3 linked regions of the Caenorhabditis elegans genome follow. The protein of the gene in region 1 purifies or fractionates together with the protein of each later gene. This does not show direct contact. Each region holds a gene or a part of one and is shown in the gene's direction. Other genes may lie near its edges. The genes, in order: ZK1307.1, pfn-1 and upp-1.

Region 1 (10,545 bases):
TAATCGAAAGCATATTCCCCTCATCGGTGGAGTTTTTCCTACTCTTGCTCAAGTTTTTCGATTTTTTATGTTGAAATTTCCATTGTTGGGAGCAGCCAATTTCATTCACGTCAACAAAACTGTTGTGACAGCCGTTCAAAATCGTATAGATCAGAGGGAGAATGATAGAAAAAATGGAATTGAAATCGGAGAGCCACAGGATTTTATCGATTTATTTTTGGAAGCAAGAGCAGATGATGTGGAGCATTTTCAAGAGAATAATGGGGATTTTTCAAAGACTAGTAGCTATGTGAGTTTCAGGAGAAAAATTATTCCTGAATTTAAAAAATTGCAGGGAAACCGTCAACTAACAACTCAAGAAATAGTCGGTCAGTGTCTCGTTTTTTTGATTGCTGGCTTCGATACAACTGCTCTATCCTTATCCTATACTACATTTCTCCTAGCAACACATCCAGAAGTTCAAAAGAAATTACAAGAAGAAATAGAACGAGAATGCATAGAACCATCAATTTCATTTGATCATCTCTCAAAACTAAAATACATGGATTGTATTATCAAAGAGACTTTACGTTTGTACCCTTTGGGAACAATGTAGGAGTTTTAAATTTATACTTCACATAAAAAAACAATTATTCCAGGGCGAACTCTCGGAGATGCATGAGAGCCACTAAATTGGGAAATGTAGAAGTTGAAGTTGGAACAATGGTTCAAGTAGATACTTGGAGTCTTCATACTGATACAAAGATTTGGGGAGATGATGCGAAGGAGTTCAAGCCAGAAAGGTTTTTTTTTCAAAATTAAAAAATATATTCAGATGTATTATTGGCTTAATTTTTGAAAGTTTTAAAAAGCGAATCACTTTGGAGAGTATTCCACCTTTTAAATTATTTAGTAAGAGATCCTACTAGTTATTATTTCAGATGGCTTGACCCCAACTGTGACCAAGTTTTCCAAAAAGGAGGATATATTTCATTCGGATTAGGACCTCGTCAGTGCGTTGGAATGCGATTGGCTTATATGGAGGAAAAGATGCTCTTGGCTCATATTCTTAGAAAATATACATTTGAAGTTGGCACCAAGACAGAAATCCCATTGAAATTAGTTGGAAGAGCCACGACTCAACCGGAAACTGTTTGGATGCATTTGAAGCAAAGGATATGAACTCAATAATTTTCGACCCTCTTTGTTTGTATTTTAGTCATCGAAAAAGCTTTCAAATAAAACTTTCTTGCTTTTTAGAGTCTGAAAATGTTCAGCCTATTTTCTGAGAAACTCGTCTATCCTTTAATTGAAGAACAATTTTGAAAAACATATCAGACTAATTTGGTATTTCTACTAATTTTACTCGCATAAACTTTTGAATCATCTGATTGTGAGCAATATTGGATCAAGAAATCAGTTTTGTTAAGCTGCTGGCTCCCCGGAATCAATGCTCATAAACTTATCTGTAAACAACTTGTCCTTTAACTTTTCCAGTGATATCATTAGTGCTTTCCCATTTTTCTATTTAATATTCTTATCACTATAACTGAATGTCAAAAGAAAACGCTCATAATTTAAAAAACGTCAGTTTTAGACTGATAACTCTCTCCACAATTCATACTAATTTGACCATTTGCTACTTAAATTTTTTGAAGCATATATTTATATTTTCAGGAGAATGAAGTTTCTTCTTATTGCTTGTTTGGCAGTTCCTGCAATCTTAGCTCAACAGACGTCTGCTCCAGGTGGAAATTTGTGTACTTATCCTCCACAAGGAGATGAATCAAACCAAAAGGCTGTTCCTATTCAGGACTTCAGAACGTCTGGATTAGATTTCGTTAGGTCAGTTTATGTTCAAAAATTGGAACAGCTTTAGTAATGATTGGTTTAGGCCGCGGCCAAGTTATGTTGAGCCAACTCTTGATGGTCTTACTAGTTAGACCCAGAAAAATACTTTGGCAACAGTGGGATACTAAACGATTACCAATTTTTGAACCACATAAATAGCCGAATATCTTAATTTAAAAAGTTTCAGACCAAATTGGTGCATCACCCACTGTGCTGACCGCAAATCTGTCAAAGCTGCTGTTCGCTTCCAATTTGCCAATCAGTCAACTGCAGTCCGTAAGTTAACATAGATCAGTACACTAAAGTACATGTAAAAACATTTGGAACATTATGAAAATACCAGTAAACATCCTAGAATTTAATGGGAATTTTCAGCAACCTACAAAGTTCGCCGTACTTTCACCCGTTATTCAGGAATGAAGGTTCATGCTGAGCTGATCAGCGGAAACCCGACCAAGCGTGACGATGATCCTTTTAGTAAGTGATTTCATCTTATGGTATAAATACATGTCAAAATTTCAGACTTCTGTATGGACGATGCTGTGTCGGCCCAGATTGATACTATTGTCAACACCTACAATGACATCGAAACCATGTCAGAAGCCCTCAACTTCTATATCAACAAGCCAGGATGGGCGTATATTATTTACGATGTAAGTTACACAAGTTTTTTTTTGGAAAATATATAGGTGTCTACTATTTCTACTTGAATACATATATTCAGATGGGAGTACCACCAAGCATCATTGAGACTGACAATGTCAAACACGATATGAACTACTGTGAGAAGTCTTCTAACAAGGTAAGTACTCAGAAAATGTTGTAAAATGCAACAAAACCAGACCTGCAAGTATCCGAATTAGAAATTAGACCTCACCAAATTTTACAAATTTTTCAGCAAATGCCGGATGGAACCTACATGACATATCAAGTATTCGCAGGACTTATCAAGGCTAATTGATTTTTTTCTTTTAATTTTTAATAAACGATTTAACTATTTAAAGTTTTACATTGAATATTTGATTCTTATTATTCTCAAAATGAAATCATTAGTGATTTTTCAATATTTAATTTTCCACTCTTTATTTTCCGTTATCAACACATTCAACTGGCAAAAGAGGAGGCCGGTGATGTGGAAAATTTCAGTTTTTAACTGATAACTTCCGATAATTTGACCATTTGCTACTCGCTTTGAAACGTTTTTGAGTATAGTTTCCTTTTCATTTTTATCGAGAGTTTTTAGGAAAATGAAGCTTCTTCTCCTTGCCTGCTTAGCAGTTCCAGCAATTTTTGCTCAACAAACTTCTGCTCCAGGAGGAAATTTGTGCAATTATACTCCAGTTGGAGATGAATCCACACAGGATGCAGTTCCAATTCAAGATTTCCGATCCTCTGGATTGGATTTTGTGAGGTTAGTATATTCCTTTTCAAGATTAAATTAAGAATTCATGTAAAGTCAGAGTGTCTGATCTAGAATTGTTTTATCCTTTTAATCAATAATTTTAAATTTAATTATTCAAATCCAGATGAAAAAATCCATTTCTACTTTTCAGACCAAATTGGTGCATCACTCACTGTGCTGACCGCAAATCCGTCAAGGTTGCTGCACGTTTCCAATTTGCCAATCAGTCAACTGCAGTTCGTAAGTTAGCGTTCAAAAAATATTGAAAGCCACTTCCTAGTTTTGAAAAATATAATTGAAATAAAATATGTGGAACTTTATCTAACTCATTTTCATATATTTCAGCAACCTACAATGTTCGCCGTCACTACACCCGTAAATCTGGAGTCAAGGTTCATGCTGAGCTGATCAGCGGCACTCCAACCAAGCGCGATGATGATGATTTCAGTGAGCTCCTCTTTTTCTAGAGTAAACCTGAAATTCATTTGTTTTCAGATTTCTGCATCGACGACACTGTTTCTGCAACAATCGATACGGTTGTTAAGACTTACAATGACATCGAAACCATGTCAGAGGCTCTCAACTTCTATATCAATAAGCCAGGATGGGCTTATGTCATCTATGATGTAAGTCATATCAGAATCAGAATTGGCTCACTGCTGATAAAATCCAAAAATTCAAATCCGAACTTTAACCCTATCCATTTAAGATGGGAGTTCCACCAAGCGTCATTGGAACCGACAATGTCAAGCAAGATATGAACTACTGCGAGAAGTTTGCCCAAAAGGTACACTTTTATTATCTAAAGTAGATAAAGCTTTTCTACTTTCAGCAAATGCCGGATGGAACCTGGGGTTTGTATCAAGTGTTCGCCGGATTGATCAAGGCCAACTGATTTGTGATTTTTTGGGTTTTTCCCACAACTAACAGTGCAGATGTAATTTGAATAAAACTTTGAACATATAATTAATTTTCTGGAATATTTTACAGTTCGTAAAATTGAAAAGTAACCTAGAGTGCAGCCAACTAAAAGATTTTAGATTCAAATCTTTTTGGAATTTTTCTTTGTAGTTTTTGAATCTATGATTATGTCGATTGTCAGACTGTTTCAGAGAGAGTTAATTAAAAATATTTACCCAATTTATTCATATATTTAGCGCATCTTATCTTACAACAAATATTTAAAGTTTTGATTTCTGGCCAAAAAGTCGGTCTGGAAGCGGTTGTGGCTGTTGAAGAAGGTCGGCAATCAAATGGAAACGGTCTGATCCAAAGAATGAATGCTCCGATCCATCTTCTGTGTGCACATTGATCCATGGAGCACCATATGCCTGAAAAAGTAAAATTGCCAATTTTTTTTAATTCAAAGATGAATAACTTACCATCAAATCAACTCCCTTATTCGTATTCTCCATCAAAATCTTTATATATTTCTCATCCTTGCTCTTTTCCACAATTTGCTCCGGATTCTTAACACCAACTGCCTTCAATACTTCCACAAAGTCTTGATCCTCAAAAATCTTCTCACTTCGAGACCACAATCTGACCCACATTTCCCGAGCTGCTCGGAGCATCAGCTCCTTATCCTGCTCCTGCAAAACCAACAAAACCTTCATTGCTCCAGTAGTACGGTACTTTTTGATCCATTCCATGAACAATGGTGGTGGAGTCAATGGAATATCCCAGAACTTTGCAGTTCGCTTCAAATCAGTCATCATCATAATTGATCGAGCTGGGAGCATTGCTGGAGGACGATTTCCTGATTCTTTCATGACGGCTCCGAGGAAAAATGGAATGTAACGGATTGTTACTCCTTTCCATTGGGTTTCCAGTTTTTGGAAGACCTGCAATTTATCATTGCATAATTTCTATAACTATAATAAATTTACGAATTTTAAAACTAAAAAATATTATTGTACCGTAACACTGTTCAAAAAAAATTCCTGACTTCCTAGGATAAGAGAACCATCGACACATGCGTACAACCACAGTTTTTTATGTAATATCGTATATAAAAAAAACCAACCTCAAAAGCAATATAACTGTACGGAGAAATCACGTCAAAATAAAAGTCGATACGTGGAAGTTTTGGCATTTTCCAAAATTAATTCGAATTTTTGGGCACGGCGAACGGAAATCTGCAAGACAAAAATCCGTAAGTTGAGTGTAGATTTGGAAAAGATGTTTTGAAAAATATTCGCGGGAACGATAAAGTAGATCAAAGTTATATTTTCTGCAATTTTTCTTTGAGAACCCGTTTAAAAAATTAAATAAAAATTGCACAAACAACCGTGTGGTTTTATAAGTTTTCGAGACAACGAACTGTGATCTATGTTCGGTTTGCAGTGATAAGAAAGTGGGAAATGAAGATAGATGCAAAAATAACGTGGGAAAATAATAGTTCTAGAGAAGTAAAGCAACGTGGTGACTTGTTCCACACCGTGAGACTACACTGTAGCTTGTATCGGGAAAAAGATACGCAGAGATGACAGACAATCTGGTTTCTCTGCGTCTAGCTCTCTTGGTTTGAATGATGCATTGGGGAAACTACAAGAATACCTTGGATATTTGGAAAACGCGTATATCAATTTCTTAACCTTTCAAAAATTAAAGCTTTTCTGGATACCTGGAAAGTCCCAATTCGCGTTTTTTACATGGAATTTTCATAAAAGCTTTCTTTTAAAAATGTTTATTTTCTTTTTCCATTGACATATTTTGCATAGCAAGGATCTTTGGAGCTTTTCAAAGCACAAACCTTTGGAATTCATTTGCCGGTGTCTTTTGAGTACCTGCACCTGACACCTGGCACCTGACACCGAGAAAACATTTTTCCTGTGATCATAATTCATTTGGAATTTTTATCAATCAAGATCTGCAATCACAATATGTATTGTGACGTAATAAGGCCATCAAGACATATTGAAAGATTTACAAGGGTTCGGGGAAGAAGGAGGGAGGATAATAAAATGACCACGGGTGTACATTGTTATTCTTTTATTTTTATTTTCTCGCGCGTTTTTGGTTCTACTTTTTGAACTATCTAGTTTAACATTCAACTTCCTCCTTGAATATTTGTTAAATTTCTAAAGTTACGACTAAAAATTGTTTGAAAATTTAAATTTTTTGTCAGGTGTTATAATTTTTGAAAGTTTGAACTTTTTGCAGACTAGCTGCTAACACCTTTATACCAATATTTGATAACAAATCGTATCAATATAAAAACTGATAAGATACTAGTTAGCTCGGTGCATCATTTCAATTTCGAGTAGACTATTAACAATAGTTATTTGATATTGAACCTGCTATATAATAATGTCTGATGTGAGTTTGGACCTATTTAATTGTCAGTTTGGAAATTAGAAACACTGGTTTTACTTTTTGAGTTAAAATGATTTTGAAAACTAATTAAACAATTGAATTTTCAGTCTGAAACAATGTCTGCTGCAAAATCTGCTGCCCATATTCTGAAGAGAGTGTTGATGGTTCCACCAAAGCATTTCACAGTCGAATACACAATCAATCCATGGATGGGAGGAGTTGTTGACAAGCAAAAAGCTCATCAGCAATGGAATTCTTTGAAATCTGCAATCGAAAACGCTGGTGTTCCAGTTTTGACAATGGAGCAAACAGAGGGTCTTCCAGATCAAGTTTTCGTTTGTAATAGTGGATTGGTCTATGATGATCAGGTTTACTTGTCCAGATTCAGGCATAAGGAAAGGTGAGTTTGAAAAAAGAATAAAGGAAATTGTGTGTGAAACATTTTATGTTTTTACAGAAGCGGTGAGCAACCACTCTACTTGGAATGGTTCAAGAAGAACAATATCAAAACTATTGGGGAAGGATATGAAGAGGTATAAATTTGCCAGAGAATTTTTGTTCTCCATTTTGAAACATAAAATTTCAGATCTTCGAAGGCGGAGGAGATGCTGTATTTTCTGACCGTAAAACTCTTTGGGCTGGTTATGGAGAGCGTAGTTCAAAGTCTGTCTACGAGAAAATCAAGGCACTCGGGACTTTTGATATTGTTCTCTGTGATATGATTCTTCCAAACTTTTATCACTTGGACACTTGTTTTGCTCCAGTTGATGAGACCAGCGCCCTCTACTACCCACCTGCATTCTCTGAGGCAACCAATAAGGAGGTGAGTTTTTTTTTGAAATCCCTAGTTAAAAAACTTTTTGTGTGCAGATCCTCCGTCGTCTTCCAAACTCGATTGCTGTCTCCGAAGCTGAAGCAAATGCTTTCGTGTGCAACGCCATCACTATTCGTGATACCGTAATCTCCCCAATCGGTGTCTCTCAAGCAACCAAGGATTATCTGTCGGCTCGTGGAAAACGTGTCGAAGAAGTTGATATGAGTGAATTTATGAAAAGTGGTGGAGCTTGTCAGTGCTTGGTGCTCAGATTGCTCTAATTGTGATAGGATGAATTGATGGCTGGATATTTGAATTTTTATAGTGAATCTTTGATGAAGTTTTGAATAAATAAAGCGTTTACTGGAATATTTCAAATTGGAGTGTTGGCTTTCAAAAAGCCGTCTAAAAAATTGAGAGTTTGGTTGAGCTTAAGCCAAAAAGAGTCAAGTAAAAAAGATGCTATTATAATATAGCATTGTGAAGCTATCGAGAAATCAGTGTTGTACGTAAAATTTTTCAAAAAAAAAAATTCTGATTTTTCTCTCACTTCACTGCTTTACCGTTAAAGTACGGATTCCCGAGTTAAATTTCAAGTTAATTTTAAATTCAGATAAGTTTTGAACCTTTTCAGCTTTCAATTTGTATGATCTTCATTGGAAAATATAACCACAAAAATCACATGAGAAAGATACTAGAACCGGTAGGAGGGTAAGGGTGGCACTGAGAAATTCTAGAATTGTAATGTTACAACTGATCACTTTTCTTCTCATCTCTCTTTTGGGTATTTTGTTGTGGTATTCATTTCTAGAAAAAATATTATATTCTGTATTTCAACAAATGAAGAAGATTACTTTATTATCTGGAATTTTGTTTCTTATTGGATATTCTGATGCAGAGGTTTTTGAAAGGTTATTGTTTAGTTTAGTTTTTTCTTTTATATTTCAAGAAATTTCAGTCAAAATGTTCGAGTTAAACGGAACGATTTCACAAACAACTATGGCTATGGACCATTCGGAATAGGACCTACAAATGGAGGATTTGATAGTTATGGGTTTTATAGAGACAAGTTCTATAATTCAGGACTTCCTCCACTTTATTCATTTGCTTCTTATCGTAATTATTATCACGAAATTTCATTCCACAAGAACAAATACGGACAGCCAGCGCCTACGGATTTCGAAACTTTACAGCAGGAAAGATACGGTGAGTACTTACAATATATTGAAAATATGTTTTTTTTTCTTCATATGTCTGCCCGATTTCTACAAGAAAAGTATTGAACATCACTGCTAATATATAATATATTTGTGGTACAGTAGCTGCAAACTTTCACTCTTCTCAAGACCCAAATCTCCTCATTTGCGCGCGTATTGAAAATTTCAGAAAGCCTTAAATTGTAAAGTCGAAATAAATTATCGAGCTCATTGTTCATCTGGATTATTTTTAAAAACCTCAAGACCTAAATATTCGAATTTTCAGGACCATATTACGATGGAGTCTGGGGATACGCGGATCATTCGAAAAATTGGTTTGGAAAACGTTAAATTTGTTGTTTTTACTTCTGTTTTTTTCTCAAATTAATAAAATTAATTCAATTTTTTTGTTTGAAAAATTTCTAAAATTCCTACGCGACCTTCTCAAAAAACATCAGTTGATAAAATCTTGGCACGTGTAAACCCGAAATTTCGAATCAGTCGATTAGAACTTGAATCAGTTCAGAACCAAGTCAAGTGCAGCCGCAATGGGAGTCGAAATTTCGTTGGATCCACCAGTTTGCCCGATCCAGGCCAATGGAGGAGTCTCGAAGCACAAGATGATCAATCATTGCGACAAAATTTTGGCCTTTAAGGTTGGTATTTTACTTATCGTGAGGATATAGACAGCAGGGGTGTACGTCAACTGGCAATAAGTTTTTTTTCAAAACTTTGGCAACTGGCAATAAGTTTTTTTTCAAAACTTTGGCAACTTGGGCCGAAGCTTCGTCAACCGAGAGTTTCCGGTTGCCGCACAGCCATGATAGCCAATTTTACAGTAGACTATTTCAGGTCAAATCCTCGAACAACTCAAACTACAGCGTCAACTTGATCTACGGAATCTTGAAAGTTTGCGATGTCAAGGAGTTGGTCATCACCAGAAAGGTATCGAATTTCTGAACATAAGAACCTAATTCATTAACATTTCAGCCTGGAAAGCCACAAGCCGACAAGTTGATCATCCAGTACTGTATGGTGGAAGATGAGAACGCGGATCCAAAACCATTGTTCGCAAATGGAGTGCCACCAGGAGAGCTTTCTGGAGAGACAGTCATCAAGTTGTCTGCTGCCGAATGAATATGACACCAAAGAAAAACAAGATATTTTTAAACTGAGCATTGTATGTAAAAATGAAGATTGGAATTGTTGTTCTGGGTTTATTTTTCTTTTCATTAGTGTTGATTCTCAGAGGGAATTGTAATCTGAATCTGAAAAGCTTCAATATTCTTAATCAAAAAATGAGATTGGCCTTGAATTTTTTGGCTTCTCCACTGCAGGTTCTTCCGGTCGCCTGAATTTCCTACGTGATTCTATTCGATCGCGAGAAGATTCAAGGTGACCATCGTAAGATGAAATTTAACATAGTTGTCGTATACATAGATAGGTAGTTTTTATAATACATAAGAAGCAGAAACTCTTCTGTTTCTGAAAAAAAAATTGGGTCGGTCCAACGGATAGACACTATCTCGAGAACGAGTTTGGTTAAGATATTACTTAACTTTCTGAAAATTTTATTATTTGTTCCTCAATGCCATTACTTCACAAATTAATAAAATCACTTTAATTTTCGTTTTCACAACTTTTCAAATTTCCACGCGACCTTCCATATTCTCAAAAAAAAACATCAGCTGATAAAATCTTAACACGTGTAAAACAGAACGTCCGAATCAATCGATTAGAATTTGTTCTGATTTAAAACCAAGTCAAGTGCAGCCGCAATGGGAGTCGAAATTTCGTTGGATCCACCAGTGTGCCCAATCCAGGCCAATGGAGGAGTTTCGAAGCACAAGATGATCAATCATACCGATCGCCATATGGCTTATAAGGTTGGTTCTTTATTTGCCGGAAAACTGGTCAATTGAAAATACCATGTCAGGTAAAATCCTCAAACAACTCAAACTACAGCGTCAACTTAATCTATGGAA
Region 2 (10,556 bases), on another chromosome or scaffold:
TAGCCGTTAGTCTAAAATTTCGAAACACGGCTTAAACCGAATTTGCCGTTAGCCGAAAAAAACAGTTAGCCGTCCACCCCTGCTCCAAATGTGAAAATGTATCTTTCGCCGATTCCAAAAGTTAGAGAAACTTTATGTTTCCTCGACGATTTTTGACCATTCATCAGCTGCTGTTTAATCTGGCATTTTTGAGATTTTCCTCAAGTTTCTCATAAAAATCCTCACTTTCCACAAAACCCAGAATTTTCAGCATTTTTTTTCAATTTTTCTTGAAAATTGTCAGAGAGGAAATTTGTAACCAAGAATCTGCTCTTTTTCTGAATCACGAAAAAAAATTCAAGTTTTCTCATTTCTCTGAAATGATTCGCTTTGCTCCTTAACTGCAATGGAGTGGTTGATTCGAATCAAGTTGAAAAAACATAAATTTTAGTATCCGATAACATCGCGAAATAATAAGAAGGAGAACAGCTTCAAACAATATCAAGCAACATCAGATGTAGAACAATGAAGGACCAAAATGGAGTAGCAAGCACTGATGACTCTGTTTTACCTTCTTGGAGTAACCCAGACGTCGGACAATTCATTGTGTCGACGTACAATGAGTACGAATACAAACGGATCCCATTTCGTGAACTGGAATTCGGATGTCTTCTATGCAGGATGAGAACATTCAATCACGAAGGAATGAAAAAACACTTGAGGGATCACGTAGTCCACAAAAAATCTTCATGTGAGCACGAAAAACCAGGTAATTCGCATTTTGTGTGAAATGTACACTCAAAATGAAAAACTGCGTGGCACGTACTGCAGAAAACATAATATTTAGGCCCCGCCTTTTTCTCGTCCACTCACGGAGAAAAGGCAAAAATCGGAACCCAACCAATATCAGGCCGCCGACATCTCACGGGTACCGCGCGCCGCTGCGTTTAACTCGCTGTGGGCGTGGCAAGTTGTCTCCGTGAGATGTCGGCGGCCTGATATTGGTTGGAATCCCGATTTTTGCCTTTTCTCCGTGAGTGGACGAGAAAAATGCGGGGCCTAACTAAATATTAGGTTTTCTGCAGTACACGCCACGCAGTTTTTTGTTATTTGGAGTGTAGAAGATATATAAATTACAAAAACTTTTCTTATTTTTCAATCAGAAATCTTCTATTTATTTTTAGGTAAAACTGGAATTCATCATCAAGTTGACAAAGCTGGAAATGGTGTAATGCCAGAGAATGGGCAACTTGTTCAGTGCTACATCGAAATTAAGCTTGCGGATTGCTACACATCTTGGTCCAATTACGAGAGCCAAAATCCGATTATCTTTAAAATTGGATTCGGTGAAGTCATTCCTGGTTTAGATATCGGAATCCCTAAGGTATGTACATTTTTATTGATTTTTTGCAGAACTCAATTTTTATAAATAAAAATTCAATGTTCTTTCAGATGAAAGTCGGTGAAATCGCAACATTTCACGTGAGTGGCAAATATGGTTACGGCCGCGCTGGGTTCAGAGGACTGATTCCTCGAAACGCTTCCCTAACTTGCAAAGTTAGGCTGTTCAATTGCTCATGGGACTCATATGGTAGATTTCTCCTTATTTTTGAGTTATAAATCTTAATATTCCCTCTTTTTCAGCAAAAATTGGCGTCGATAGACAGATTCTCGTCCAGGGCGACAACGTCACCAAGTCAAAGAACGGTCAGACCGTCACCTGCCACTACGTGCTCATCCTTGTGGACGGAACGAAGATCGACTCTTCTCGCGACCGCGAAACTCCATTCAAGTTCAAGATTGGAAAGGGAGAGGTCATCAAGGGATGGGACCAAGGAGTCGCCCAGGTTTGTACATCGATTAGCTCAATTTCAATATAAAAATTCAATTTTCTTTCAGATGTCAGTCAAAGAGAAGTCGAAGCTCACGATTGCTCCGGCTTTTGGCTTTGAAAAAGGCAAATTGCCAGCAGGAATCCCAGCGTAAAATAAAACGAATTGGATACATGCTGCGTACTTTATGAACTACCGTAGCCAGGAGAAAAATGTTTAAAATCAAAACTATGGTATTAATTTTTGTTCACTTGTTGTTGACACGATTGCCATAAATTTCAATTTTTAATTAAAATGCTTTGAAATTTTATTAATTTCCTTGTTTTTTTATTTATTTCTATCGAGAGAACTCATTTTCAACGATTTCCGAGAAAGAACAAATTTCTCTGAAGAGACGCAGACACTTACCTTAAAGGCGCATGCAATTTCGCGGCAGCGATATCTCGCCACGAACAGTGTCGCGCCTTGTTCGATTTTACTCTCGCCTCGTAAACAACCCATTTTTGCTTGTTTTTCACCGATTTTTGGTCATTTTTCAGAGTTTCTTATCGAAAAAATCATGTCAGACGCCCACTTTTCAATGACAAATAGTTGTTCTTCGAAAATTCAGTGTTATTTTGGCCTAAAATCGGCTAAAACTCTGGTCATCAGATTTTTGTTTACTTTGCCGGTTTTTTCCTGTTTTAGGCCATTCTTCTGGAGTTTTCTATCAAGAAAATCAGTAAATCAACTGAAAATCAGAAAAGCAACCTTATTTTCGAGGCAGAATTATCGATTTTTGAAAAATAATTGTTATTTTGGCCTAAAAACAACTTGAACTCGCCCTTGAACAATTTCTTCCTTTTCTTTGCCATTTTCTCTTTATTTCTGAGTTATAAATCTTAATATTTCCTCTTTTAGCAAGAATGGGCGTCGACAGACAGATTCTCGTCGAGGGCGACAACGTCACCAAGCCAAAGAACGGTCAGACCGTCACCTGCCACTACGTGCTCACCCTTGAGAACGGAAAGAAGATCGACTCTTCTCGCGACCGCGGAACTCCATTCAAGTTCAAGATTGGAAAGGGAGAGGTCATCAAGGGATGGGACCAAGGAGTCGCCCAGGTTTGTCCATCGATTAGCTCAATTTCAATATAAAAAATCAACTTTTCTTTCAGATGTCAGTTGGTGAGAAGTCGAAGCTCACCATCTCTGCCGATCTTGGCTATGGACCACGCGGAGTTCCACCACAAATCCCAGCCAACGCAACTCTCGTCTTCGAGGTCGAGCTTCTCGGAGTCAACTAAGCTGCCCGTCTCCGTTTGCAGCTCCGTTTTAGCAGCTGCCGTGTGCAACCTCTCCATAAATGATATCAATTTTTTTTAATGATTCCAAGTTTTCTTTCTTTTTCCCCCCTTAATTTTCTCTGTAAACTAAATATTTCTTCCTATCTAAGTAGCATAAATTATTTAATCTTTAAAAACAAAATGGTTTTTCTCTGTGCGTGTTGACGTGGCGTTTGTGTGTCCTTGAAGTCGAAATCTCCGATTACCTTGCCAATTTTACTCTTTTATTCTTTTCTTTTTCACTTTTTTGCCTCACAATTCATTCGTAATTGTGTGCGCGGGCGATCCTTGCGTAGCGCCCGTCTTTCTCAGAAGACCATCTGTTCTCCATTTTCGAAACAATTCAGGCCTCCTGTTCATTAGAAATACACAAGACGAGAGGCGGAAGACGCCTCCCCTTCGATGATTCATAGTTATTTTTATCATTTCAGATTCCTCCGCCCAGTGGGATGGTTTAAAAATCATTGAAATTCGCCATTTTTACACATCTTTTCTTGAAAAATCTCCTCTTTTTTGTCTCCAAAATTGATTTTTCAGTTTTTCCGACGTTTTTCCACTAGAAATTGGCAAAAGCCAGCGAAAATTGAGCAGAATTTAGCTAAGAGTACGGTAGTCGCCTAAGTACGCAGAGTTGCGTACGATGCATTCCATTTGACGCGCAAAATTTTCTGATCGCGAAAAAAGATTTTTGACCTCAATTTTTTGATCTGCCCGCCAATTTTCGTCGTGTTTTTCGAGAACTGGTCGAAGAGGATGACAATTTCTTCATTTTTCCACTTTTTTGGCCGGTTTTGTGACGTTTTTACCGATTTTCCGCAGGTTTTTCACAAAATTCTCGCGTTTTCTCCCAAAATTGATATTTCCAGCAGTTTTTTCCGCGTTTTGTCTCGGTTATTGCCAGAATATATTTTCCTCATTCTCTAGCAAATATTCGCTAATTTTCCTGATTTCCACCCTATTTTCTTCCGGAAAGTTCAGTTCGTTCCATTCTTGCTTTAAAACTGTAAGGAAGGAGCGGAAATAGGTGATTCAGAAAGAGTTTTTTATCAATTTTCGGCATCCGATAACGTCGTGAATCGAGAAAAATAAAAAAGCTATAAAAATTATCACATAGCGTAAGATTTCGACTAGAAAACTCTCAATTTTCCTATTTTTTTTGATGAAATTTCAGCTCACAGTGAGTGTTTTGTAGAAAAATGTAAAATTTTCCCCATTTTCCCCATTTTCCGCTTTCTGGAGTTTATTCGTTCGATTTACTGACAAAATCTTCGGGTTTTCTGCAATATTTATAGAAAAATCCGGCCAATGCTACGAAATTTCTGTTTTTCGCGGCTCTTTTGACTATTTCGTGACTTTTTTGGGGCTTCGATCATCAAAATTTCGAATATTTTTATGATTTTTGAGCATTTTGATGTATTTTTTTTCTTCTAAATGACTTTCAGATCTCCTTGGCAGAAAAAACTGCGAATATTATAACAACTTGAAGCTTCCTCGACGATTTTTGGCGACCTGCTGTTCCATGTGACTCACCATTCCAATTTCGCAATCCACTGGTCATTCTCGGCATTAAGATCCATTTTCAGCGCTCAATTTCGCAATTTTCAAAGCTAGAAAGCTTTGTTCAAATTGAATTGTTTCGCAACTCGTCTTCTATCGCCTTTTGGTTCTCTTTCTCCTCCGTCGTCTTCGCTGTGTTCTCTTCAAAATGATTCATCATTGGCTTTGGTTGTGTCTCTGGGTCTGTGTGTTCAATATAAATTGCAACTGCATTTGACATTAGTATGGATTGAGGCGGGTTATTTCACCCTCTTTTAGTAGTACACACACATTCAATTTGATGGGCGGTCTCTGTCTCTCTTTTCGTCCTTTATGGGTGAATAACTGACCAGCGGAGCAAGCAGGCAGGAGCAGGAGCACAAGCTCGTTGTTCGGGTTGAAAAGGGGAAGAAGGAGAGCACCAGATGGCATGCAAACATTCTCTTTCTCTTCTTCTCTCTATTGCTTTTCCTCACTGTCATTCACTGCTTCTCCATTTGCCCAGCCAATTAGATGGAGTGTTCCGGGTGGTCAAAGATGTCCTCTAGTTTTCGTAGCAATTTTCATCTTTCGGAATTTGAAATTGGAAGTTTTCTTTAATTTCTCTCAATTTTGGGTCATCTGGCGATTTTATGCCATTTTTCTTGTGAAATTAAATTCTCAGATTGCTCTAGATAGTTCAAATCCTCTAGTAGTTGAAAATTCGCCTCAAAACGTTGCTTTTTTAAAAAGAATTCTCCCTTAAGTTGGTCCTAATTTCTCGAGGCGAGATCTTCCAAAAGCTGAATTTTTCCAAGTTTTCTACATCTGAAACTCGAAATATTTACTATTTTCGTAGTTTTTGGTAGTTTTCGGTGTTTTCGAGCTTCAATTCCGCCTTTTTGGCCTGAAAATGGTCTGAAAATCATCGAAAATTGGTCAACTCTAGGTAAAATGCCAATTTTGGTTTAAATCGGCTCAATTCACAGAAAATTTCCAAGAAATTCATGAAAGAAGCTCAATTTTTGCACTACATTGGCGAGAAAATTGTGAATTTAGTGAGATTTTGTTGGTTTTTGTCATTTTATCCATTCGCAAGTTCTTCGCCACCAACTTACACCACAGATAAGCAAAAAATCTGCGGAAATATCAATTTTTGGGTATTTCGGCATTAAAATTCCATTTTTTGCGCAGTAAATCAAAAAATAATCGATTGTTTACAAAAACCGTAATTTTCAAGCGATTTTATGCTCTTTTTCTCCTAATTTGTGCTCTTTCTTCATATTATCATTTCTCATTACCCCTCCAACCATCTCAATCATAATTTATGTTTATTTTTTCAGTATAATCTCCGCTTCAACCTCCTCCAAAACACAAAAATGTCCGGATGGAATGCCTACATCGACACAATGACTGCCGCTGCTCCATCAATCAAACGGTGTGCAATCGTCGGAGCCGCTGATGGATCTGTCTGGGCTCGTACTGAGGCTGACAATGTGTTCAAGGTATGGAAATGGACGAAAATCATCGAAGAAGCTCGAGAAAAAATCGATTAAAACTGGAAACGATTGAAAAATCCTTAAATTGACCCATTTTTGAGATTGAAAAGAGCTAGCGGGGTCGATTTTTGTTGGAATTTTCGCATTTTGACCCAAAAAACTGAAAATCTCGCGAAATTATTCACTTTTTGAATTGAAAATCGAAATTTTTAGCCGCTGAATTTACATTTTACAGGAATAATTAGCAAATCCACTCAAAAATTGCAAAATTTTCATTATTTTTCGAACAAAATTAAAAAATTCCAGATTAGGCAGGCTTCAGGCGGCCGTGCCTGCCTACCAGCCCCTGTTTCTCATATAGTTTATACTTCTTCGAAACCCAAGTAGGCAGCAGACAGGCTTAGGCTACCTTGAAGGTCAGGCAAGTTACCTGCCTGACTACCTTCGAGGTGGCCTGCCTGATACCTACATTAGAGCCTACTTGTATTTCAGCCGCCTGAAGCCTGCCTACTCTGGAATTTTCTAAACTTTTTTTTTTCAGATTTTTCAATTTCATGAAAATTTAGAGTTAAAAAGCGTTAAAAAAAAAATTAAAATTCGAAGATTTTTTCCTGCAAAATGTAAATTCACAGACTGAAATTTGTGATTTTCCAGTATCTCGGCCAAGAATAAGCCGATTTTTTTGGAAATTTCAGTGTTTTGAGGCCTAAAAATGCGAAAATTGGGGAAAAAGGCTAACTTTAGGGTTACTGGATTTAAAATTTCGAATTTTTGGAAATTTCAAAGCGCAAATTTTTTAACAAGAAATATTTCCTGTCCAAAAACTTCTCTAATTTTTTCCAATTTCCAGGCATCCGAAGAAGAGCTCAAAACCTTCGTTGCCCTATTCAATGACGTCACTCAAGTTCCAGCAAAAGGAGCCGATATCGAAGGAGTTCATTACGTCGTTCCACGTACCGAAGAATCGCTCATCTTCGGAAAAAAGGAGAACACTGGATTCTTCGCTGTGAAGACCAAGTCTGCAGTCTTGATTGCTGTCTACGAGGGACCAAATGAAGTTGCTGCACAAGTTCGCAAGGCTGTCGAGAGTATGCAAACCTATCTCAACAATGCTGGATACTAAATACTTCTCTCTCTATCGATTGTTGTTCGATTCGTATTTATTCCCGCTTTTCTCTATTTTTTTTTTGCAAACTTCCCCCTTCTCCCTTCTCCCAAACCTTGATTTCTACGAGTACAACGATGAAATTCGGTTTTCTTCCGCGTAATCTTTCCCTCAAAACTCCCATTCCCAGAGCAAACACAGAAACAGTTTTTATTTCACTTTCAGCTTTATCATAATGTATTGTATTCCCCCGTTTTGTTTTCTAGTAAATTCATTGCCAATTCAATGCCTTCTCGATTATTTCATTTTCATCTCCCATCGACGGAGAAAGAGAGTGAGAGAAGAGTTTTGTGCTCGGAGCAATTATCGCGTGTTTTTTTCGAAACCACGCCCACACTGCAATTGTGCGGCGCGGTTTTTTGGTCAGAATCATTTTACAGATTTTTATCATCGTTTGCAAAAATCGTTTAGAGAAAAAAAACTCGGAAAAAGATGTCTAGAAAATGAGGGAAAAACAATTAAAAAGTAATCACATTTGTCAAATGAAATTTTCCACAATATCTTACGCGAATGGGTCTCGCTAGGCAGACAACACGGTTACTGTAACTCCTGTCGGTTTACAGTAACCTGTTGCCAGCGTGGCGAGACCCGTGGGAGTGAGATATGGCGGAAATTTTTATTTTTCGGCGTCTTCGTATTATTTTTTATGAGAAAACCCATAAGAGTACGTAAGAAAAAATGGCCGAAAGTTTAAGCTTTTCGAAAATATGGAATTTTTCTATATATCGGAAAATCATAAATTTTCGTCTCAGAAAAGGGTGCCGTTTTTCGATTTTTCAATGTTTTTAGGGAAAATTTTCGATTTTCCGAAAAATTTCATTTTTAGAAAAATCAAAAACCGAAAAAACTGCTCATTCCAGTATGATAATTCAACTTTTTTAAATTCATAATTAAAATATTACGTATTTGGCGCACAAGATATGTCGTAACGAAAACTACAGTAATTCTTTAAATGACTACTGTATGTCGATTTACGGGCTCTATTTTCGTATTGGATTATTTTTCAATGCTGGTTTCCTTTTCATAAGGAAACTCCCAAAAACGGAAAATAATATTTACGAATATCGCTGACACAATTCGAAAAGTGATTAATTTCGATAACCAAACCCGTAAATCGACACAAAGGGCTACAGTAGTCATTCAACGAGTTACTGTAGTTTTCGCTTCGAGATATTTTGCGCGTCAAATATGTTGTGCGATACGCATTTTCAGAACTTAGTGCTACCGTAATATAAACAATTGGAAAATGCTTTCCCTATCGAAAAGTCTGAAAATGACTTCAAAAACCGTTTCAAATCAATATTTATGCAATTTTCAATAGAATTAATCAAATAATCAACCGATTTCTGTAGATTTTGCATCAAAAATCGTAATTTTCAAGCTATAAATGCCTGGTTTTGAGTGATTTTATGCTCTTTCTTCATATTATAATTTCTCATTACCCTTCCAGCCATCTGAAATCTTTCATTTTTTCAGTATAATCTCCGCTTCAACCTCTTCCAAAACACAAAAATGTCCGGATGGAATGCCTACATCGACACAATGACTGCCGCTGCTCCATCGATCAAACGGTGTGCAATCGTCGGAGCCGTGTGATGTGCGGAAAGGTCCTGGAAATATTATTTGCCAGGAAATGTACTTAAAATGAACCAACTGCAGTATTACTCACACACGAAATTTGGCAATTTTTGCGTAAAACACGGTCTCGACACGACAAGAATGTTTTGATTTCGAAGAGTTGTGCGCCTTTAAATAGTACTGTAATTTCAAATTCTTCATGGTGCATTGATGTTATTTTTCTCAGAACACCTATTATACAAAAAAAAATCGATGAAAGCAACGAAAATTTAAAATTACAGTACACTTTAAAGGCGCACGTTTTACTCGTTTTCAACGAAATTTGTCGTGTCGAGACCGGGCTACCGTATTTTCGCCAAAAAAAATCACGTCGAGTCTGGGTAATACAATTTTTGGCCAAATGGCGCAGTGAAGAAATTCACGACTGAGAATATACACACCGGGGTTCGAGTCCGCACTGTGGTCGAAATATTTTTGTTGCTTTTTTTACATGTTTATTTTTTGGATAATTCAAGGGTGCGGAACTCAAAAATCAGTGTATTAAAGCCGAGAAAAGTCTGAAAAATCTGAATTTCAGAACTTTATGAAAATCATAAAAGTACTTAATTCGACCTATTATCTAATTTTTCCAATTTTCAGGCATCAAATCCTGGAGCAAATCGGCGGTCTCTGAGCTTGCACTGAGGCTGACAATGTCTTCGAGGTACGGATCGGCTGAAAAATTCAATTTTTTAGAAAAAAAAACTCGATATAAATTAAAAGATCTGCCAAGTTGCACAGTTTTCGAGCTCTCAGCACAAAATTTCAAATTTTCCAAAAAAAAATTTTGGAGTATTTTGGAGTTATCAGTGTTTTTAGAATTTGAAAAAAACCGGAATTTTTTTGAGAATTACAAAATTTTCAAAATCTGGATATTTCAGCAAAAAAAATCCAAATCGCAATTTTTTTTTGGAAAATTTGAAATTTTGTGCTGAGAGCTCGAAAACTGTGCAACTTGGCAGATCTTTTAATTTATATCGAGTTTTTTTTTCTAAAAAATTGAATTTTTCAGCCGATCCGTACCTCGAAGACATTGTCAGCCTCAGTGCAAGCTCAGAGACCGCCGATTTGCTCCAGGATTTGATGCCTGAAAATTGGAAAAATTAGATAATAGGTCGAATTAAGTACTTTTATGATTTTCATAAAGTTCTGAAATTCAGATTTTTCAGACTTTTCTCGGCTTTAATACACTGATTTTTGAGTTCCGCACCCTTGAATTATCCAAAAAATAAACATGTAAAAAAAGCAACAAAAATATTTCGACCACAGTGCGGACTCGAACCCCGGTGTGTATATTCTCAGTCGTGAATTTCTTCACTGCGCCATTTGGCCAAAAATTGTATTACCCAGACTCGACGTGATTTTTTTTGGCGAAAATACGGTAGCCCGGTCTCGACACGACAAATTTCGTTGAAAACGAGTAAAACGTGCGCCTTTAAAGTGTACTGTAATTTTAAATTTTCGTTGCTTTCATCGATTTTTTTTTGTATAATAGGTGTTCTGAGAAAAATAACATCAATGCACCATGAAGAATTTGAAATTACAGTACTATTTAAAGGCGCACAACTCTTCGAAATCAAAACATTCTTGTCGTGTCGAGACCGTGTTTTACGCAAAAATTGCCA
Region 3 (10,556 bases), on another chromosome or scaffold:
CAAAAAAGTGGTATTTCAATTTTGCAAAGGTATGACTTCACACATGGTTGGATCACAGGTTTTTTTGCAGATCTAACAGCTAGGGATCCATTTTTTCAAGACTATCATTTAAAAAAAAAAAATAAAAGAAAATACAAAAAAGTCCCAAAATTTATTTCAATAAAATTGACGTGACCTTTTCCAACGATCTCCGACTTGTTTTTCTCCTCCCTCCACGCCTACGTTCCACGTCGATTCCATCACACAACTTTTCCAAAGTTTGTTATTTCTCAATCTCCCACTTTTATTGGGATACGTAAAGAATCTCAAAGAAGTTTGGATTACAAAGTCAATTTTGATTTGAGAAGAAAGTAACAAAGGATGGAAAAGAAGGAGAAGAAGTCAGTGATTCAAAAAGTGAAGAGGACACTTCGGCGGAGGAGCAAAAGTACTGACGCTAGCAATGATCAGAAGAAAGGGACGAAGACTGTTGAGTGAGTTTTTTAAACAATTATTTAATTTTCTAGCGCTGATCTAATTTTCAAAACTAGAAAGGTAGAGAAGTACGCTAGAAAAATAGCAAAATGAGGTGTTTTCGGAATTTGTATGGTTGCAAAAAATGATGTTTCAGCGGCGCAGAAGGTCCCTCGAAAGCTTCCAGAGTCAAGACAGCTTTCAGGAATCGTAAAAAGTCCACCACAGGAATCAAGAACTCAATTTCGGTAGGCTTTCGGCTCTCCAGTGGATTCATGATAATTGTTTCATAATTTCAGAAAGAGTGCAATGCACCAACTAACAAAAGTATTTCTCGGGAGTCAGTTCGGAAGACGAAAAGCTCATTTTTGAGTACAGTGGACACGGAGGAGGACGCACCTGCACAGACGCCAGACACAATAATGTCTGAGATCAAAAAGGAAGAGCTGAAAGAGAAAGGGATGAAAGAGGAAAAGAAAGAAGAGAAGAAGGACTCCCGATCGGAAAAGAATACTGAAAATATGAAGCACTCGAAGCAGAAAACAAAGATGTGGCTGGGAATGCCTTCTGCGCTCAACTTCTGCAACAAGAAAAATGGTAAGAGCTATTGGAGGAGTCTACCGATCATCTATAAACTTTGATTTCAGACATCCAAAAGATTCGAGAAGAATTTGGGTTCCTCGACTCGCTTGCAACAAGACCACTGAAGCTTTTGAAGCAAACAAAGTTCGAAATCGTGAAGGGGTAAGCTGATTGGAAACAAGGTTTTCCTGAATATAAAAAATTTCAGTGTCCGAAGATCTACGATGAAAATCGGGTTCAACTGAATCGTCCAGGACACGAGGATGTCAACTACATCAACGCCAGTGTCATCACCTTGAAAGATGTAAGTAGAAGGATGGCTTGCGTGCCTGCCTACGGTGCATCTTGTTGTCCTACATTTTGTCATTTTCCAGTTCGAGCACAAGCTAATCGTCGCCCAACTTCCCCAGATGGAAAACGAAAGTTTCGTGGAAGACTTTTGGTACATGATCTACCAGGAACAGATACATCTTGTCTACTTGATGGTCCCGGATGACAAGCTGAAGAACACCACGACTTCTTTGTTCAACGACGAGAATGGTGGCTATCAGTACACTGGAAAGATGTTTATCAACAATCGGCGTGCCGACGTTTCTGGAGATCCAAAGGAATATACGATTGAAGTATTGCCCGAAGGAAATTCAGATTCTGTCATATGCCAGGTATGGTCTCAAGAACATAGCATGAACAGGAAAAATCAAATTTAGGTTCATCATCATGCTCCATGGAAGCATCTGCAGCAACCACCAAAAACTCTTCCGATCATCAAAATGATTCACCAATTTCTTTCGGAGAAGCAGGTACAAAACGCTGGAGTCTGCGTGGTCAGCTTGTTCGGATGCGGCCGTGCGTGCAGCTTCATTGGTGCTCTCTACGCAATCAACCAGCTCAATAATGGAATTGAGCCCAATGTAACTAAAAACCTAGTTGAATGCTTTACAATAATTTTATTTCAGATTTGCGAGATCATGAAGAATATCAAACAGCAGCGTCCAGGAGGAGTCGAATCTTTTGCTCAATACGCTAGTATCTATGCAATTGTGTTTGACTACATTTCGGTAAGTTACTATTTTGGAGATAAACTATAACTATTTCAATTTTCAGCGCAAACGTGGCGGAAAGAAGGCTCCCGTAAACAAGGACATCAAGCGATTCATTAATGAGCTCACCGAGATCTCCCCAGCATGCTCCCCGACAAAAGTGATGCCTTTGAGCACTTAGCTATATCATGCTGAAGACTGTATACAATAAATAAATCCTTGGATTTTTCTTGTTGTGGTTTAAAATGTTGACTTTGATTAAGAGAAGCGTGCCTGCCTGCCGCCTATCTCGGCATTTGCTTGAAAAACTTCAAAATGCAATTTCGATTTTTTGAGAGTTGTACCTAAAGGCGCGCTGATCTATTCAAATAGGTCTCGCAGCGAGACGATTTTGGATATAGTAAGCAAATATTTCAGTTTCAGTGTTCTCTATTTTTGTTAAGGTAGTTCAGTTCTTGTTATTGAACAGAATGATCTGAATGTTTAAATAATCCTTTCTAATGGAACGATGGAACAGCCCAGAAGAAATCCCTGGAATACAAATGCCACAGTCTTCTGGTCTTCCTAATGTTAAGATGAAATATGTTTTTGTTATTGTTCACATCCATCATGAATCGAACAATGTATGAAACATCATTTGAGTGTCGATTTGGGTCAGCGGTGGAATTTTTTGATAAATAATTTAAAAATTGAAGTGGATTTTTCCAATTTTTATGCTTAAAAATTCCAGATCAATTTAGGGTACTCTGAAAACTGGGGTTGTTTGAAGTTTTGCCGCACGTGGGAATTGGCATTCCGACATCCATAAGAAGCTTTTCTTTTTTATATTTATTCAAGAATCTGGTCGAAAAACTTTCGAAGTTTGAAGTTTCAAAACTATCAGATTCTTACGATTTTCGTAACTTTCCTCTCAAAGTCTCATTCAAACACCACATTTGTTTTATATTTCCTTCACGGGACGATGCCTTCCCCGCACACCACGGTAATTAATAACTTTCCGGCATGTTATTCTAAGATCTGGCAAAATGATATGCGAGGTATTCAAGGGGTGAAGTGTGACCGAATAAAAGATAGTGTGTCCGATAAACCGTGGGACTAAATGATAAATGTTTTTTTTTTCTTTCCGTCAATGCCAAAAGGTTTCGGCAAAATAAAAAGAAACATACAGATCCCTTCATATTTTCAATTCGCCCTGATTTGATCTTCTCACCTTGAAACTTTCTGGTCTATAATCTATGGGTAAGTCATGACAAAATTGGCGACTAAGTTCTATCAGTAGAGTTGCATTCGAATGTAATTATTTCATTTTCCGAATTCTCTATTTAAAATCAAGACGTCGCAAAATGATGTGCACCTCTAAGAAATACAGTAACCCATGTCCTGTTTGTTTGCAATTTCTTCAATTTTTTTCCAGAAGGACATTTAGAAGAAAACAACTAGTTTTCAGCAAAAAAGGATATAAAATTAATTTTCAAAAACTTTATTTTTAGCATTTTGATGAGATTGCAAATTTAAAATTGAATCTTTTGAAATTATCAACGTTTCTTTTTGAATTCTAACAATAATATGTTGGCAGTCAAAATTTGAAAATTTGAGAACGATGCTCAATAAATTTTTGTTCAGGTTTCAAAAAACTGGAAGAAGCCAGCTTTGAAAGAAATGACGAGTTGGAAACTACAGTACCCATAAAAACGAAAAATCTTTCGCATTTGAAACTCATGCCCTTTTTCGGCAACTCGGCAACCGATTTTTGTGACGTTGTGAGACTACTGTAGACCGAATTTCCAAATATTCAGTGTCACTTAAAAATCATGATAACAATTGATAAGATCACCCCTCATAACTGTGTCCCGTTGACTTTATCATTTCCGTCTTTTTTCGTCATCTTCTTGCGCCACGTGCTGTCTCTTTCGCAGAATCATTGTTATAATCTCGCCATCTTTCATGATTGAAATTTATTGTCAATGTGTTCAGGAACTAGCCTTTTATTTACGATGACAAATAGATGAAACACTGGGGACACTAAAAGCGTAGTTTTGAACAATCAACACCATAAAACTATAAATGAACAAAGTTGGCAGCAAGAATTATCAGCATTATCAGGAGAAAGAACTTTTTGTGCAGATAAGAAACAATTGAACGCGGAGATCAGAATGACATGATTATTATTATCTGTATTCTTACCGCAAACTTTTAAAATAATAATTGAAACAAAAAAGATTCTCGCAAAATTGTAATATTCAAAGTTCGCGCGTTTTTATCTGTCTGCATGTCGACGTGTCGGTGTTTGCACACTTACGCTACATCTTACGACAGGTGTTTTCAAACTCTCGCGAATTTATTTTTTTCCTTCGAAATCATCGAATTTCTTCCATTTAAGTCTAAAAACTTCATATTTTCAGTAAGATAATTCATTACTATTAATATCCAAAGTTTATATCATGTGGTGCTTGAACAAACTGCTGGTGCGAAAAGTTTAAATCAAATAAAAGCAAATCCTTCGTTGAAAACAATCGGAGATTTTCGATTTTCCACGTGGAAACTGTTCTAAACTGCGTCACCATCGTTTTGTTTGTCTTTATTGTCTCAGAAAGTTCAGTTCCTGTTGACTTTTTTACTCAAATTTCAAAACTTTGTCCTTTTACTCAATTTTTCTGACTTGTCGAAGCTTCTTCACAGAAACTGTTTGTTACATCACCACGCTTTCTTTTTTCCGCAAAATAATTTTTCTTTCCATCTATTTCCAATCGTTCCGCCCATTTTCTCGACGAAAACAAAAAAAAAGATAGATAAAAAGGGAGGAGTTTCGAGGTTACTTGCTTTACGGAATAAAAGTTTCATTTTCTCAATATTTTCATTTGGAAATTTGTGAGTTCTTTTTCGTCTTTATATATTAGAGTGATTTTGCTTATTTCAGATTGAAAAATAATTGTTTCACTTTTCTTTTAAATTTCAATTTTTCTCTGAGGTGTACTAAAAGTCTTGGTAGCAAAGGTAGAATCTCGTTTTTCTCGTTTTTATTATTTATCACGTAGCCTGGAGCTCACGAGTTGTCCAAATTGGATTTGAGTCCTTTTTAAGCATCTCTAACCGTCTACTCTCTCTGCTCTCTCCTCGTCTCTTTTGGAGTGCCCTTTTCTTATTCTATGTGATACTGACGACATTTAGCACGCGTATTCTGGTTCCTGTTTTTGTTTTGCTCTCTTTTATTCATGAAGTTTTTTTTTTCATTCCTATAAGTTGGAATTTTTTCAGATCCATCAAGATGAACGGACTTGTCAAGAACGGAAATGTGGAGAAGCCAAACAAGTACTTCGATATCAAGGATAAAAGAGATTTTCTTTATCACTTTGGTTTTGGAGTCGACACTCTCGATATTCCAGCAGTTTTTGGAGATACCAAGGTTGGTTCTACAAAGTCTAGAAAAAATTGAATAAGTGAAAAAGTTCCCTCATTAGTTTTAATATTAGTTCACTCCTAATCTTCGAGAAATGTTCCACTTTAAAAATCGTTTACTATATATAAAGCGCGTGTCCTTCTGTCCCTATGTAGTTTGATCTCTGATCAGAGCAACGAAATTTTGGGAAACCTTATGCTAAGTGCGCAGCAGGCATCGATCGAGGTCCGCGATAGACACCGTATATCTAATGTGTTTTCTCAAAGAAGTCGGGGGCCGCGCCGTAGGTGCGGTCCACGGCTGGTGATTCATAATGTTCCAAAAAATATGAGAAATAATCCATTTATGTCTTCACTTCCCAGGTAGAATGATGCAACAGTTTTCTCTATTCATACATATCGATCAACAGAACAAACACAAAAATATATTCATTCATTTGGCGCTTTTATTTCTTCAATTTTTTGACCCGTTAGTTGTCATGCGAGTTTTCTTCTTTTTGAATTATAAATTTGCATAGCCACGCGCCTCCTGGTGTCCAATTTCAATAGAGGGTAAATATAATTTGAATCGATACCAACACAAAACGAATCTAGAATTTTCAAGAGCTACATATTCCTCACTGATAAGTTTATCTCTCTCCTAGGGCGGGTAATACTTCTAGCCAATTGTTACACAAGCGCCCTTCGTGTCATAGGAATGTCTATGTCTTTACTGCACGTGTCAAACACGCTCCGTTGTGGTCTAGTGGTTAGGATTTATGGCTCTCACTCATAAGGCCGGGGTTCGATTCCCCGCAACGGAAGATTTTTTTTGTTTTTATAGGTGTTGTGTGCCGAAATTGAATCATTTTAGTGAATAATAATTTGCACTATCATTAAGTTAATTTCAGTTCGTCTGCACTGGAGGATCTCCAGGACGTTTCAAGTTGTATGCTGAATGGTTTGCCAAAGAGGCCAATATTCCATGCTCTGAAAATCTCTCACGGTCTGACCGTTTCGTGATTTACAAAACTGGACCAGTTTGCTGGATCAACGTATGTTATTTTGAGGCGACAATTATTTGACAAAAATAAATTTACAGCATGGAATGGGAACCCCATCTTTGAGCATCATGCTCGTCGAATCTTTCAAGTTGATGCACCATGCTGGTGTTAAGAACCCAACTTTCATTCGTCTTGGAACATCTGGAGGAGTCGGTGTTCCACCAGGAACTGTTGTTGTGTCAACTGAAGCCATGAATGCTGAGCTTGGAGATACCTATGTGCAAATCATCGCAGGAAAAAGAATTGAGCGGCCTACTCAACTCGATGCCGCACTCCGCGAGGCTCTTTGCGAAGTCGGAAAAGAGAAAAGCATTCCAGTTGAAACTGGAAAAACCATGTGCGCCGACGATTTCTATGAGGGACAGATGCGTCTTGATGGATACTTTTGCGATTACGAAGAAGAAGACAAGTATGCTTTCTTGCGGAAGCTAAATGCTCTTGGAGTACGAAATATTGAGATGGAGTCAACTTGCTTCGCCAGCTTCACGTGTCGCGCTGGATTCCAGTCTGCTATTGTCTGCGTCACTCTTTTGAATCGTATGGATGGAGATCAGGTAATATTTTGATTCTTATTGACAGTCTTCAATTATAACATTTATAGGTTCAAATCGCCAAAGAGCAATATATTGAATACGAGGAACGTCCATTCCGCCTTGTAACTGCCTACATTCGCAAGCAGACCGGGATCTAATAATCTTAAAATCAAGATTCTCAACTAATTGCTTTCCATGTTTCCTTACCACACGAATAGTATTCATATATTTTCTCTAATGCACCCCTCTCTAACTAACCCTTCTCTTCTAGAATAATGTGATTCTGTTTGGTTTCATTTCAGTCGAAATATGAAAGAAAGTTTATGTAAATAAATAAAGGTTTTGATTTTCTTTCTTTAAAAAAATTATCTTGATAATTTATGGAAGACATGTTGAAGAACTTTACAGAAAAAAAATCACAGAAAAAAACACGCAAAAACAAGGGTTTTTTGGAAAGGCACAAATTAAAAGAAAATTGAGAAAAATTGGAAAACGAGGCACACGTAATGGTAGAGAAAAGCTGTAGAGATGTGATAAATACGATAATTAAATAAAAAGTTTAGAAAATTAGAAATTATCAAATAAAATTTTAAAACAAAAGAGAAAATTCTGTTTGGTTTCGATCAAAACCCTGAGCAATTTGTTAGTGTTGTCGGAGATTTCAGAGAAGTTTTGGGGGATTTAAAGAATAAAAAAGTAGGTAAATAAAATAACAAAAATATTGGAATGTAACAAGTATGTAGCAAGTGATTGAAGATTTCTTATCAGTGCAGTGATAAGAAAATACGAAAATATGAATTACCAAAACAATATTTTGAAACAATCAATCTAGAATCTCAGTTCTGATTCCAGATCAATTGTTTTTGGTTTCTTAGAGCACAAGTACAGTAATATCGCTGAGCAAACTGCAAATGAGCCCAATGCGATGAGTAGTGGAGCCATTTTCACACAAATCGATTTTGATTCCTTTGACGTGGCATCCACATGGGATGATGTGACGTCATCGTCATCAGATGTATTCATATCATGAGAATCATGGACATTGATGATAGATGAAACTGCTAGGGATTCAACTCCGGACATCTGGAAAATGTGTTTTTAGAAGAAATGTTTGAAGTGACAATGAGATCTAGTAAGACTGCCGCAAAAATGTATATCTGCTTACACTACGACCTACGCCTGCCTCGTGCCTGCATTAGTATCTGTTTTGCCAAATCACGCGTATTTATTGCCAGGATGCAAAGTTTTTAGGTTTTGTAGTACTCGGTCCGATTTAAGCGTCCGATTTTTCAAAGTGCAAAATAGTGTGCGCCTTTAGGAGTACTGTAAGTTCTAGCTTTTATCGCTCTTTCTCGCTTTTTGAACAGAATATTTTTGATGCAAAAAGCGCCAAAATTCCGCATCTGGGTAACAGTTGATCTTTAAGCATTCTAATTGGAAAACATGTGTACGATCACTAATGATCGAATCTAGGCATTAGAATAACCAATGCAAATATTTTTGGCTTTACTTTAACATACCAAAACCATTTCCTGACGAATCTCGTCGTTCACAACAGGTGACGTCGTCTGATGCCTTCTAAATCTTGCTGATGAAATACATGTTGGTGTAGAACATTGCCCAACGCAAGGGTTACAGTCACATTGGAATCTGATCATTGAACTGTCCGGCCATTTGAATGTTCTGAATACTGCCTGCACTTTTGATGACGTGGCAGCAGACCATTGTGGGAACAATGACTCATCAATAGCACATCCCATGTCATCTGTCAATGTATATCTCTCTCCACTCTCAATATTGATTGCGAAACAGTTTCTTGGCAAAATGCCAAAGTTTTCGGATGGCGTAACTTCCAAAGCAAGCTTCAAAGTGTCGCCGACCATCGCTGAACTGATTGATGAATGTTGATCATTTGAAACTGATAATCTGCAGATTGGAGCAAGTGTAGAATTCTTTTCTGTGAGTGTGGAGGTTGTAGCAAGTTCAGAAACATTCACATGAGATTCAACAGCACGGGAACCAATTGGGTATTGGCATCGGAGGTCGTAGGAGTCGGCCTGAAATGTTTTTCATTTTTACAAATACACAATTGAATAAATAAAAGTTACCTTATTCGTCAAGAACATTGCATGTTTTTGTACAACCACTGTTGACGCCATAGTATGCTGGAAAATGAATATTGAAAAATGCTTTCAGTAAGATCAAAATAAATTACATTATCGAGAAGTTGTACATCACAATGTTGGAAAACGACTTTGAAAACATATGGCTTGCGAGAGTTCAACAATGAGCTGAACGATTTCGAGCAATATGGATTCTCAGCTTGTCCTTTCACAAATATCTTCCCTTCAAAGTCAGCTGTCTCGTTACCAAGTACCAATGTCATTCCATCAGCTTCACAGTATACTGAAAATTTGATAATTAACCAACTGCGATATTAATTTAAAGAAGTTCGAGTTGGTATCAATACTGACCCGAAAGTTTTCCTTGATTGACATGTGGAACACAAGTGATTCCATCTCCAACGTGCCCATCTGGACATGTGCAAACATGGGATCCAAATGTATTTCTACATGTAGCAACTCGGTCACATTTATGAGACTTCTCCGCACATTCATCAATGTCTGCACACGTCTCCGAGCCGGAAAGTGTCGAGTTCCGACGGAATCCTGATTTACAAATACATTCTCCAGAGATGCAGAGTTGAGTGGAAGAGTCGCATGGTGTGACACACGAGCTCACATCAGAAAGGTCTTGTTGGTTAGCTGGTTCTGAAATTAAAAGGTTAATGCGTTTTGGAATTATTTGGAAAAACCAACAAACCCTTTGAAACAAGTGAAGAACATTTATAGAATGGGTCTCCCTTAAATCCATGACGACAGATACAACTTCCAGTTGGAAGACAAATAGCATTCTTCGCACACACTGATTTGTCAGTTCTACATGATTTCTGTGGGAAACATGAAACTCCGTTTCCAGAGAAGCCAGAAGAACACTGACATTGACGGGATTCCGAATTACATACTGCGTTCGGGTGACAGATTCCAGTGAAGTGGACGCAGTCTAATGGATCAGGTACACAGCAGAGACCGTTGCCAAAGTAGCCTGGCTGAAAATATTTATGTTTTCTATCAATCTACTTCAAAAGAAAACTTACATTACACTTGCAGGTAGTTCCACCAACACAATGAGCATTTGCATCACATTGGGAACAGTTGCTTGCTCTTTCGTGAATACTAACACACTTGACTCCATCTCCAGTAAATCCTGGAAGACATTGGCATCTTCTATTCTGGCAGACAGCTTCTGGCGAGCACAAGTTATCACGAAGCACACAATCCTGTGGATGCGGTGAGCACACGTATCCATCTCCAATGTATCCAGCATCACATTCACAGGATCTTGTTGAATTGTCGCATTTTGCCTTGTCAGCACAGAGAGACGGAAGAGAAATACAATCAGCTGTGCTCTTTTTAGAGCAAGCTGTTGTACCGTCTCCAATGAAACCA

Evidence for each region.
Region 2: the proteins of ZK1307.1 (region 1) and pfn-1 fractionate together in Caenorhabditis elegans (co-fractionation; one large-scale study listed by BioGRID). This does not show direct contact.
Region 3: the proteins of ZK1307.1 (region 1) and upp-1 fractionate together in Caenorhabditis elegans (co-fractionation; one large-scale study listed by BioGRID). This does not show direct contact.

What each region holds. Positions count from the first base shown.
Region 1 is NC_003280.10:9,651,531-9,662,075, reverse strand, and holds ZK1307.1 (Amidinotransferase), read left to right. Parts: upstream 1-6,495; 5' UTR 6,496-6,544; coding exon 6,545-6,553; intron 6,554-6,657; coding exon 6,658-6,950; intron 6,951-7,007; coding exon 7,008-7,083; intron 7,084-7,136; coding exon 7,137-7,373; intron 7,374-7,420; coding exon 7,421-7,645; 3' UTR 7,646-7,731; downstream 7,732-10,545. Other genes in the region: cyp-13A10 (Putative cytochrome P450 CYP13A10), read left to right, coding at 1-289, 335-591, 639-782, 921-1,161; ZK1320.3 (uncharacterized protein), read left to right, coding at 1,661-1,824, 2,018-2,106, 2,206-2,307, 2,353-2,483, 2,555-2,632, 2,729-2,791; ZK1320.2 (uncharacterized protein), read left to right, coding at 3,078-3,241, 3,384-3,472, 3,578-3,679, 3,728-3,858, 3,942-4,019, 4,065-4,127; gstk-1 (Glutathione S-transferase kappa 1), read right to left, coding at 4,414-4,563, 4,615-5,076, 5,259-5,327; ZK1307.2 (uncharacterized protein), read left to right, coding at 8,205-8,275, 8,323-8,570, 8,847-8,911; ZK1307.3 (motile sperm domain-containing protein), read left to right, coding at 9,109-9,216, 9,413-9,505, 9,551-9,697; ZK1307.4 (motile sperm domain-containing protein), read left to right, coding at 10,339-10,446, 10,497-10,545.
Region 2 is NC_003279.8:12,916,011-12,926,566, forward strand, and holds pfn-1 (Profilin-1), read left to right. Parts: upstream 1-5,993; 5' UTR 5,994-6,029; coding exon 6,030-6,155; intron 6,156-6,999; coding exon 7,000-7,272; 3' UTR 7,273-7,538; downstream 7,539-10,556. Other genes in the region: fkb-8 (peptidylprolyl isomerase), read left to right, coding at 505-748, 1,164-1,363, 1,432-1,570, 1,624-1,826, 1,879-1,965; fkb-2 (peptidylprolyl isomerase), read left to right, coding at 2,717-2,914, 2,968-3,096. UniProt on the Caenorhabditis elegans protein: Binds to actin and affects the structure of the cytoskeleton. At high concentrations, profilin prevents the polymerization of actin, whereas it enhances it at low concentrations. By binding to PIP2, it inhibits the formation of IP3 and DG.
Region 3 is NC_003281.10:7,637,876-7,648,431, reverse strand, and holds upp-1 (Uridine and thymidine phosphorylase), read left to right. Parts: upstream 1-5,330; 5' UTR 5,331-5,340; coding exon 5,341-5,478; intron 5,479-6,200; exon of another isoform or gene 6,201-6,284; intron 6,285-6,361; coding exon 6,362-6,505; intron 6,506-6,552; coding exon 6,553-7,068; intron 7,069-7,115; coding exon 7,116-7,205; 3' UTR 7,206-7,398; downstream 7,399-10,556. Other genes in the region: fbn-1 (EGF-like domain-containing protein), read right to left, coding at 7,876-8,130, 8,568-9,104, 9,156-9,212, 9,263-9,453, 9,522-9,818, 9,871-10,156, 10,205-10,556. UniProt on the Caenorhabditis elegans protein: Catalyzes the reversible phosphorylytic cleavage of uridine and thymidine to uracil and ribose-phosphate or thymine and deoxyribose-1-phosphate.